Sus scrofa: one gene and its partner. The protein of the gene in region 1 purifies or fractionates together with the protein of each later gene. This does not show direct contact. Links are inferred from orthologs where the notes say so. Each region holds a gene or a part of one and is shown in the gene's direction. Other genes may lie near its edges.

Region 1 (4,000 bases):
GCTCTCCCTGCTGGACAGGCAGTTCCCAGAGCAGGGAACCACTGGGAACACCCGGGGGCACCCAGGTCTGACCCCGTGTTTGGTGGAGAGACCAGGGCAGGAGTGGGCCCCAGCTGGTCCCTGCTGCCCCACCCCCCTCCCCCTAACTCCTCTCTGGCACATTGAATGTCCTTCCCCAGTCCTTGGTGGCCTCCAGATGGTCTAGGAGGGCAGTTCAGCTGTGGCTGCACGTGACAGACAGACGATGGATGGTGGGTCCCAGAGCTGTGCTCAGTGGCCCTGCCTGCCTGCAGCCAGCAGTGCTTGGCAGCTGCCTGGGTCGCCAGCTAATGGCCCAGGCTTGGCCTTGGCTGGGTGTGACCAGGCAGCCTCAGCCGCAGCCCAGCTCCATGGGAACAGCTTCTCTGCTCTACGGAGCCCACCTCTCCTGGGCCTGCAGCAAGGGAGGCCTGGAGCCCTCTTCACGGGGAACTTCCAGCCCCCAGCCCCTGGGGCCTGTCCTGTCCCTAGAGACTGCAGTCCTGAAGCCCCTGCTACGTGTCTCCAAGTCCCCTGACTCAAGCATGCCCCACCATAGCCCTCAAGCCCACGGTCTCTAAGTAATGTGCCCCCTTAGCAAGCTCAGCACCCCCACTTAGCAAGCTCAGCACCCCCAGTCGGGGCCCCCCCTTACCCAGGCTTTCTGGGCAGCAGAGCTAATGTCGCCAAGGGGAGGGTGACTCTCTCATCACTCCTTTCCCCCACCTGCTCCTTAAGCATGCACCCACAGCAACCAGGGACTCTCGCATCCGTGCTGACCCTTGCCCACAGGGGCGCTCACTGCTTTGGGGCATCCACATTCGGAGGGTGCCGGGGTGGGGAGACCCGGAGACCAGCAGGCCGGGTGCAGGCCTGGCCAAGCGGGGCCGGACCCGACACTGCTCAGGCGGGCGGCGGCCCACTGTTGGGGCCCAGCACCCAAGGGCGGCCGACGCCAAAACTCTCTCCCTCCTCTTCCTCAATCTCGCTCTCGCTCTCTCCTAGCCAGTCCATCTCCCTCCCTCTTTCTTTTTTTTTTTTTTTCTTTTTTTTTTTTTTTGCAAAAGGAGGGGAGAGGGGGTAAAAAAATGCTGCACTGTGCGGCGAGGCCGGTGAGTGAGCGGCGCGGGGCCAATCAGCGCTCGCCGTTTCGAAAGTTGCCTTTTATGGCTCGAGCCGCCGCGACTGCGCCCCATAAAACCCGGCGGCGCGACGCACAGCCACAGCCGAGACCGCGTCCACTCCGCCAGCACAGGCCCCTCGCCCTTGCCGCTCCGCCTTCGCCGCCGGTCTACACCGCTACCAGGTAGGGTCCCCGCACCGGCCGGGCCGCTGATGCGCTGGGCCCGTGCCTCTTGTGGGCAGGTGGCCCCCTCCGCCCCGGCCCCGTGGACAGCCGGCCGGGTGCCGGGAATGGACTCATGCGCTCCTCGTTCGGGGCCCGGGCTGCGCTCGGGGAGCGCTCCCAGAGTGTTTCTTTGGGAGCCCTAGCGGCGGCGATTCTTTGTCCGAGCGGGCCGATCGCTCCGCCGGCGGGAGAGCAGTGCAGCCGGGCGGCGGGGCGGGTGGGTGGGCGCGGCGCGGTGGCCGAGCCGGGTGGGGGCTGGGACGCCAGTGCGCGTGCGTGTGCGCCGTAGGCCCAGGAGGCGAGGGCGGGGCGGGCGGCCGGAAGGGGTGGGGTCGCCGCGGCGCGAGAGCGCCTGCGCGCACTTCCTCGCGGAGCCACGGGCCGCCCCGGGTGTGGTCGCCGCGCGCCCGCCGAGTGGCGCTTTTTGGGCGGGGCGGGGCTGGCGCCCAGTGGGGAGGGGGCGGAGGCCTGGCTTCCTGCCGCGCGCCTCGGGGCCGCCTCCGACCAGCGTTTGCCTTTTATGGTAATAACGCGGCCGGCCGGCTTCCTTTGTCCCCAATCTGGGCGCGTGCCGGCGCCCCCTGGCGGCTCGAACGCGCGTCGCGCCGGAAGTGAGTAGGGCGGAGGCGGCCGCACCCGGCCTCCGGCTCACGGTCCTGCTGCCCCTGCAGTTCGCCATGGATGACGATATTGCTGCGCTCGTGGTCGACAACGGCTCCGGCATGTGCAAGGCCGGCTTTGCGGGCGACGATGCTCCCCGGGCCGTCTTCCCCTCCATCGTGGGGCGCCCCCGACACCAGGTAGGGCGCCGCCCTCGGGTCTGACTTGGTGGGTGGGGTCTTGGTAGCAGGTGGAGGGAAGGGGGAGGCTTTCTGCGTGGGGGCCGGTGGGGCCGGGCCCGGGCTGAAGGCGCCTCGCCCCTCCTTCCGCAGGGCGTGATGGTGGGCATGGGCCAGAAGGACTCCTACGTGGGGGACGAGGCCCAGAGCAAGAGAGGCATCCTGACCCTCAAGTACCCCATCGAGCACGGCATCGTCACCAACTGGGACGACATGGAGAAGATCTGGCACCACACCTTCTACAACGAGCTGCGTGTGGCCCCCGAGGAGCACCCCGTGCTGCTGACCGAGGCCCCCCTGAACCCCAAAGCCAACCGTGAGAAGATGACCCAGGTCAGTGGCCCACTGGGCTCTCTCGGGCGGCCGCCCCCTCCTCTCTTGCCCCTCTTTGCCACGCCCTTTCTCACTTGTTCTTTCTTCTGCCATTTTCCTAGGACTTTTCTTCTCTGACCTGAGTCTCCTTTGGAACTCTGCAGGTTCTATTTGCTTTTCCCCAGCTGGAGTCTTTCTCGTGTTTGCCTTTCTGACTAGGTGTTAAAAGCATAAGGTGCTGTGGGTGTATAGGTACTAACACTGGCTCGTGTGACAAAGCCGACGAGGCTGCCGTAAAGGGGCCTCGGAGTGTGTATCCCGTAGGTGCACAGTAGGTCTGACGTGACTCCCCGACCTGGGGTCCCCAGCACACTTAGCCGTGTTCCTTGCACTCTCTGCATGTCCCCAGTCCGGCCTGACTGCCCCCGGCGGCTTCCCGAGGGTGACAGCGTCCCTCCCTCCCTCCAGATCATGTTCGAGACCTTCAACACCCCAGCCATGTACGTGGCCATCCAGGCCGTGCTGTCCCTGTACGCCTCTGGCCGCACCACTGGCATCGTGATGGACTCCGGAGACGGGGTCACCCACACGGTGCCCATCTACGAGGGGTACGCCCTGCCCCACGCCATCCTGCGTCTGGACCTGGCTGGCCGGGACCTGACCGACTACCTCATGAAGATCCTGACGGAGCGGGGCTACAGCTTCACCACCACGGCCGAGCGGGAGATCGTGCGGGACATCAAGGAGAAGCTGTGCTACGTCGCCCTGGACTTCGAGCAGGAGATGGCCACTGCCGCGTCCTCCTCCTCCCTGGAGAAGAGCTACGAGCTGCCCGACGGCCAGGTCATCACCATCGGCAACGAGCGCTTCCGCTGCCCCGAGGCGCTCTTCCAGCCCTCCTTCCTGGGTGAGGACGCAGCCCTGGCCCTGCCTTCCCCCCGCCCCCCCTGGCTCACCCGGTGGTGGCCACAGCGGAAGCTCAGTCGGGCTTCTCTCCCCCCTCAGGCATGGAATCCTGCGGCATCCACGAAACTACCTTCAACTCCATCATGAAGTGCGACGTCGACATCCGCAAGGACCTCTACGCCAACACGGTGCTGTCGGGTGGCACCACCATGTACCCAGGCATCGCCGACAGGATGCAGAAGGAGATCACGGCCCTGGCGCCCAGCACGATGAAGATCAAGGTGAGTGCCCAGCCTGAGCTGGCCGGGTGCGGCCGGGCGGCGTGGGTGCCACGGCAGCCGCCGCGGAGCGGGTGCTCTGGGGACCAGGGCTCTGACCGCCACCCGCCTCACTGTCCCCTTCTCCTTCCAGATCATCGCGCCTCCAGAGCGCAAGTACTCCGTGTGGATCGGCGGCTCCATCCTGGCCTCGCTGTCCACCTTCCAGCAGATGTGGATCAGCAAGCAGGAGTACGACGAGTCCGGCCCCTCCATCGTCCACCGCAAATGCTTCTAGGCGGACTGTTAGTTGCATTCCA
Region 2 (4,156 bases), about 13 Mb from region 1:
TGTTCTAAGAGTTACATGTATATTAACTCATTCCCATGTTACAGCTGAGAAAATAGTGATAAGTGACTTGTTTGAGGTCACTGGACAAGCAGAGCTGGGATTTTACCCCAGCGATTTGGCCCAGAAATGATGTCATAACCACCTCTGAACATAGTCACACCAAAACACACAGACCCGAGAGCCACACCCTTGACACATTCACACACAGCAACACAAATTTAGAATGTCATACCTGCTGGCAAACACAGCCTCAAACAAAATCAACCAAGACACATGTATTTTAAGTAAGCTTTTCATTGACGTGCTATAGACACAGGGTAAAGTACACACATCCTATATGTACAGCTCCGCGAATTTTCCAAGAGTAAATATGCCGTGGGAACCAGCACCAGATTAAGAAACGGAATCTGACCAGTTCCCAGAGGCCCCTCTTAGCCCCTCCCAGTCCCCAGGGTGACCACTCTCCCCGGTGTTTCGCACCATTTATTGGTTTTGTCCAGAACTTTCTCTGAATGGGATCACAGGGCGTATTGCTTCTCTGACCTCTTTCACGAGACGTCCCCATGTTGTGTGTAGCAGGACATCACTCTCCTTGCCCTGTCGTCCATGGTGTGAACAGGCTACAATTTATTTTCCATGGCCCTGTGGATGGGTTGTTTCTAGCCTGAGGCGCTTAGGAACAGAGCTATGGACATTCCAGTACAGGTCCCTTGGGGCTCCTACCCACGCATTTCTGATGGGTGTTAACCATCCAGGAGCGGAACTGCTGGGTCACAGGGTTGGTGTACGTTCGGTTTCACTAGAAAAGCGCCAGCTTTCCAAAGTGTCTCTATCAATTTACACTCCCCCAGAAATATGAGAGGTCCAGTTGCTCTACTTCGCCTCCACTTGGCAAGGTCTCATCTGAGCCATTCTGGAGGGTGGAAGAGGCACTCAGTACATTTACAGTGTCTGGCACGTAACTGGCCCTCAGTTAATAGCCTGTAGAATGAATGGATGAAGAGATAGTTGCAGCGTAGAACCAGGCAGCCGAGCAAGGGACACACACACACGCAAACACACACACACAAACACACACACCGTTCCAGGGTCCACCCACGCGCAGCGGTCGCACCCGGGACACAGATCCTCTCGCGCCCCCTGGCGCCCACGTGGTCTGAACGCACGGCCGCAGCCCCGCCGCGCGCGTCCAGTCGCCGAGCTGCCCCAACCTCCCTCTCGGCCGCGGGCAGGGGGCGCTGCGCGTCCGGGCGCCTCGAGGCGGAGGCGGCGGGCCCGGTCGGGGCGGGGCCGGCCGGCTTCCAGGCCTGGGCTCTGGCCGCCCGCGCCGCCGGGCGGCTCCGGGGACGGGCCGGGGCGGGGCGCGGCGGCAGGAAGCGGGGCGGGGACTCGCGGAGGCGTTGGGGAGCGAGGGAGGGCGCGGCCAACTCCCGGAGGGGCGACAGGCCGAGAGAGCGGCGCCCCGGCCTGGCGCCGAGCCTGAGCCCGCCGGACGGGAGGCGGCCCAGCCGCGGGCTCGGCCTCGGCCCCAGCCCCGCCAGCATGGCCGGCCGGACCGTGCGGGCCGAGACCCGGAGCCGGGCCAAGGATGACATCAAGAAGGTGATGGCGACCATCGAGAAGGTCCGGAGATGGTGAGCGCTGCCCCGGGGGCCAGGGACGGGCCACGGCGGGCCATTCCTCCCCCGACACGTCCACACCCCCTCCGCCACCTGTGGCCCCCAGGTGTTAGGTGTGCCCCTCTCCCCCGCCGCCCCCAGCTGCGTCCTGGATCTGCAGGGCTCTATCTCTCTTCTCCTGGCTACACCCTGGGGTCTACAAAGCGTGTTCCCCAGCCCTGCCCTCCCAGAGCTGGAACCCCCCCTTTATGCCCCGCCCCCTAAAGCTTTGACACTCCTCCCGCAAGTGTGCCCCGGGATCTTCGAGGCTGTGGTCCCAGGCCTATAGTCGCGCTCTCCATGTATACCCCAGGGGTCTGCCGCGTCGTGACCCCAGCCTATTTTTTTTTCTCTCCCTCTCTCTCTTTCTCCCGCCCCCCACCTATGCCCTGAGGTCTGCCGGGCTTCTCCCTCCAAGTCCCATTAGCCACGCTGCCGCTTCTTTTGCGCACCACCCCCACCTCCACACGTATCCCCAGATACATCCAGCTCCTGGGCTGGCTCTCTCCTCAGGCCTCTCTGACCCCGTCCCTCCACCGTCCCACAGGGAGAAGCGCTGGGTGACTGTGGGTGACACTTCCCTGCGTATCTTCAAGTGGGTGCCAGTGGTGGACCCCCAGGAAGAGGTGAGCAAGCTCCCCCACACCAGGCCCTGCATCTGGGCCACCTCGGGCAAGCCCCTCCCGGCGGCTGGCCTCCACCTCCAGTCCCCACTTAGACCTTACATGCAGCCTCGGGAACAGATGTTAACAATTATTAGCAACTCCGCCTCTTTCCCCTCCCCCGCCACCAGACCCCCTGAGTTCACGGCCTAACGCCGCCGCCGCCGCCGCCGTGGCGCACAACCTGTCGCTCACGGAGGGCCTTCTGCTTCTCTGTGCCTCAATGTCGTTATTTGTTCAGTGGGGGCTTTGCAAGCACTAACTAGAAAGCTGACTGTAACCCTTCGTCCTCTAACCCCCAGGAGCGTCGGAGGGCAGGTGGCGGCGCAGAGCGATCCCGAGGCCGCGAGCGGAGGGGCAGGGGCGCCAGTCCCCGAGGGGGGGGCCCTCTCATCCTGCTCGATCTCAACGGTATGTCGGGGATGCTGGCTGGGCTTTGGGGCAGCGGTGGGGAATGAAGGAGGGGATTGGGCGCCTCAGACCCAACCCTTTCTGCTCTTGCTCCCACAGATGAGAACAGTAACCAGAGCTTCCATTCAGAAGGCTCCCTGCAAAAGGGCACGGAGCCCAGCCCTGGGGGCACCCCCCAGCCCAGCCGCCCTGTGTCACCTGCTGGACCACCGGAAGGGGTCCCTGAGGATGCTCAGCCCCCACAGCTGGGCCAGGAGAGAGGTAGGACCAGGTGCCTCCCAGGAACCTTCTCCTCTGTGTCTTGTCCTCTCCAAGGTTGCAGCCCCCCACTTGTCCTCTGTCTGGTCCCCCTCCTGTGTCGAGTCTTCTGGAGACCATCCCTGAGTCCTGTGGAAAGTGACTGCCTTTCCTCTAGGGCCTTTGGCCTTCCTCTGGCTTCTTTGGGTCTGTAGATAACTTATCACAGATTTTCATGTAAATTTAGCTTTTGAGTAGTTAAATATCTTTCTTCCCCATTCCCACCTCCTGTCCGCTTCCTGAAGGTTGGGCCCATCTTGATCCTGTTCTCGGCTGTATCCTCGGAACACTGCGGACCACCTAGCAGGTGCTCAAGAAATATTTGTTGAGGAATAGGTAATAATCAAAAGACTGATTAACAGTCGGTGATAGTTACAGCTAATACTTACTGAGCTCTTTCTGCGTGCCCGACACCCCGCTAAGCTCTTTCCATGTTTTATCTCATTTCATCCCCACTGCAGCCCTATGAGGGCTACGATCTCCATTGAGAGATGATATACCCGAAACCCAGAGAAGCTGCCCAAGTTCACCCAGCCAGCGAGCCAGGATCTTGGGCCTGAGTCTTCATCAGCTCCTCTTTCTTCCCGTAAAGTCAGTCCCCTGTCTGATCAGATCCATCTCTCAATGTGTCTGTCTGCCTTCCTCTGCCTGCCCAGGCCCTGTCGTCTCTCTAACCCACACCCGGCTCCGGCCTCCTCATGGGTCTGTTCCCCTCCAGCTGCACCCACACAGCTACCAGAGCATGCGTTTGATGGGGTCATTTTCCAGCTTCAGAACCTTCGATGGCTCCCTCTGACCTTTGACCCCTCAGCTTGGCACTCTGGGCCCTTCCCGAACCGTCCCCTGCTGACCTCACTGTTCCTTTCCAAGAACACCAGGACTTAGGCCTCCGTTCTGTGTCTGGATCGTAGCACACGCTCGTGTACCTTTACTGATATAAAAAACCATAATTGGCATTTCTCGAGCACTCACCGCATTAAAACCGTGTTAACGGTTTTGCCTGTGTTACCTCCTTTGATTCATACACCATCTGATGTGGTAATTACTATAATTATCCCCACTTGACAGATGGGAAAACAGGGTTAGAGAAATTAAGTCACTTGCTCGAGGTCAAGATTCGAACTCAGG

What was found.
Region 2: the proteins of ACTB (region 1) and BCL7C purify together in Homo sapiens (affinity purification with mass spectrometry; 3 studies listed by BioGRID and IntAct, with this or other methods). This does not show direct contact. The link is inferred for Sus scrofa from reciprocal best matches to the Homo sapiens genes ACTB and BCL7C.

Annotation. Positions count from the first base shown.
Region 1 is NC_010445.4:4,087,583-4,091,582, reverse strand, and holds the start of ACTB (actin, cytoplasmic 1), read left to right. Parts: upstream 1-1,199; 5' UTR 1,200-1,324; intron 1,325-2,037; 5' UTR 2,038-2,043; coding exon 2,044-2,166; intron 2,167-2,298; coding exon 2,299-2,538; intron 2,539-2,985; coding exon 2,986-3,424; intron 3,425-3,522; coding exon 3,523-3,704; intron 3,705-3,834; coding exon 3,835-3,978; 3' UTR 3,979-3,985; exon of another isoform or gene 3,986-4,000. UniProt on the Homo sapiens protein: Actin is a highly conserved protein that polymerizes to produce filaments that form cross-linked networks in the cytoplasm of cells.
Region 2 is NC_010445.4:17,546,194-17,550,349, forward strand, and holds the start of BCL7C (B-cell CLL/lymphoma 7 protein family member C), read left to right. Parts: upstream 1-1,352; 5' UTR 1,353-1,542; coding exon 1,543-1,634; intron 1,635-2,205; coding exon 2,206-2,284; intron 2,285-2,622; coding exon 2,623-2,731; intron 2,732-2,830; coding exon 2,831-2,992; intron 2,993-4,156. UniProt on the Homo sapiens protein: May play an anti-apoptotic role.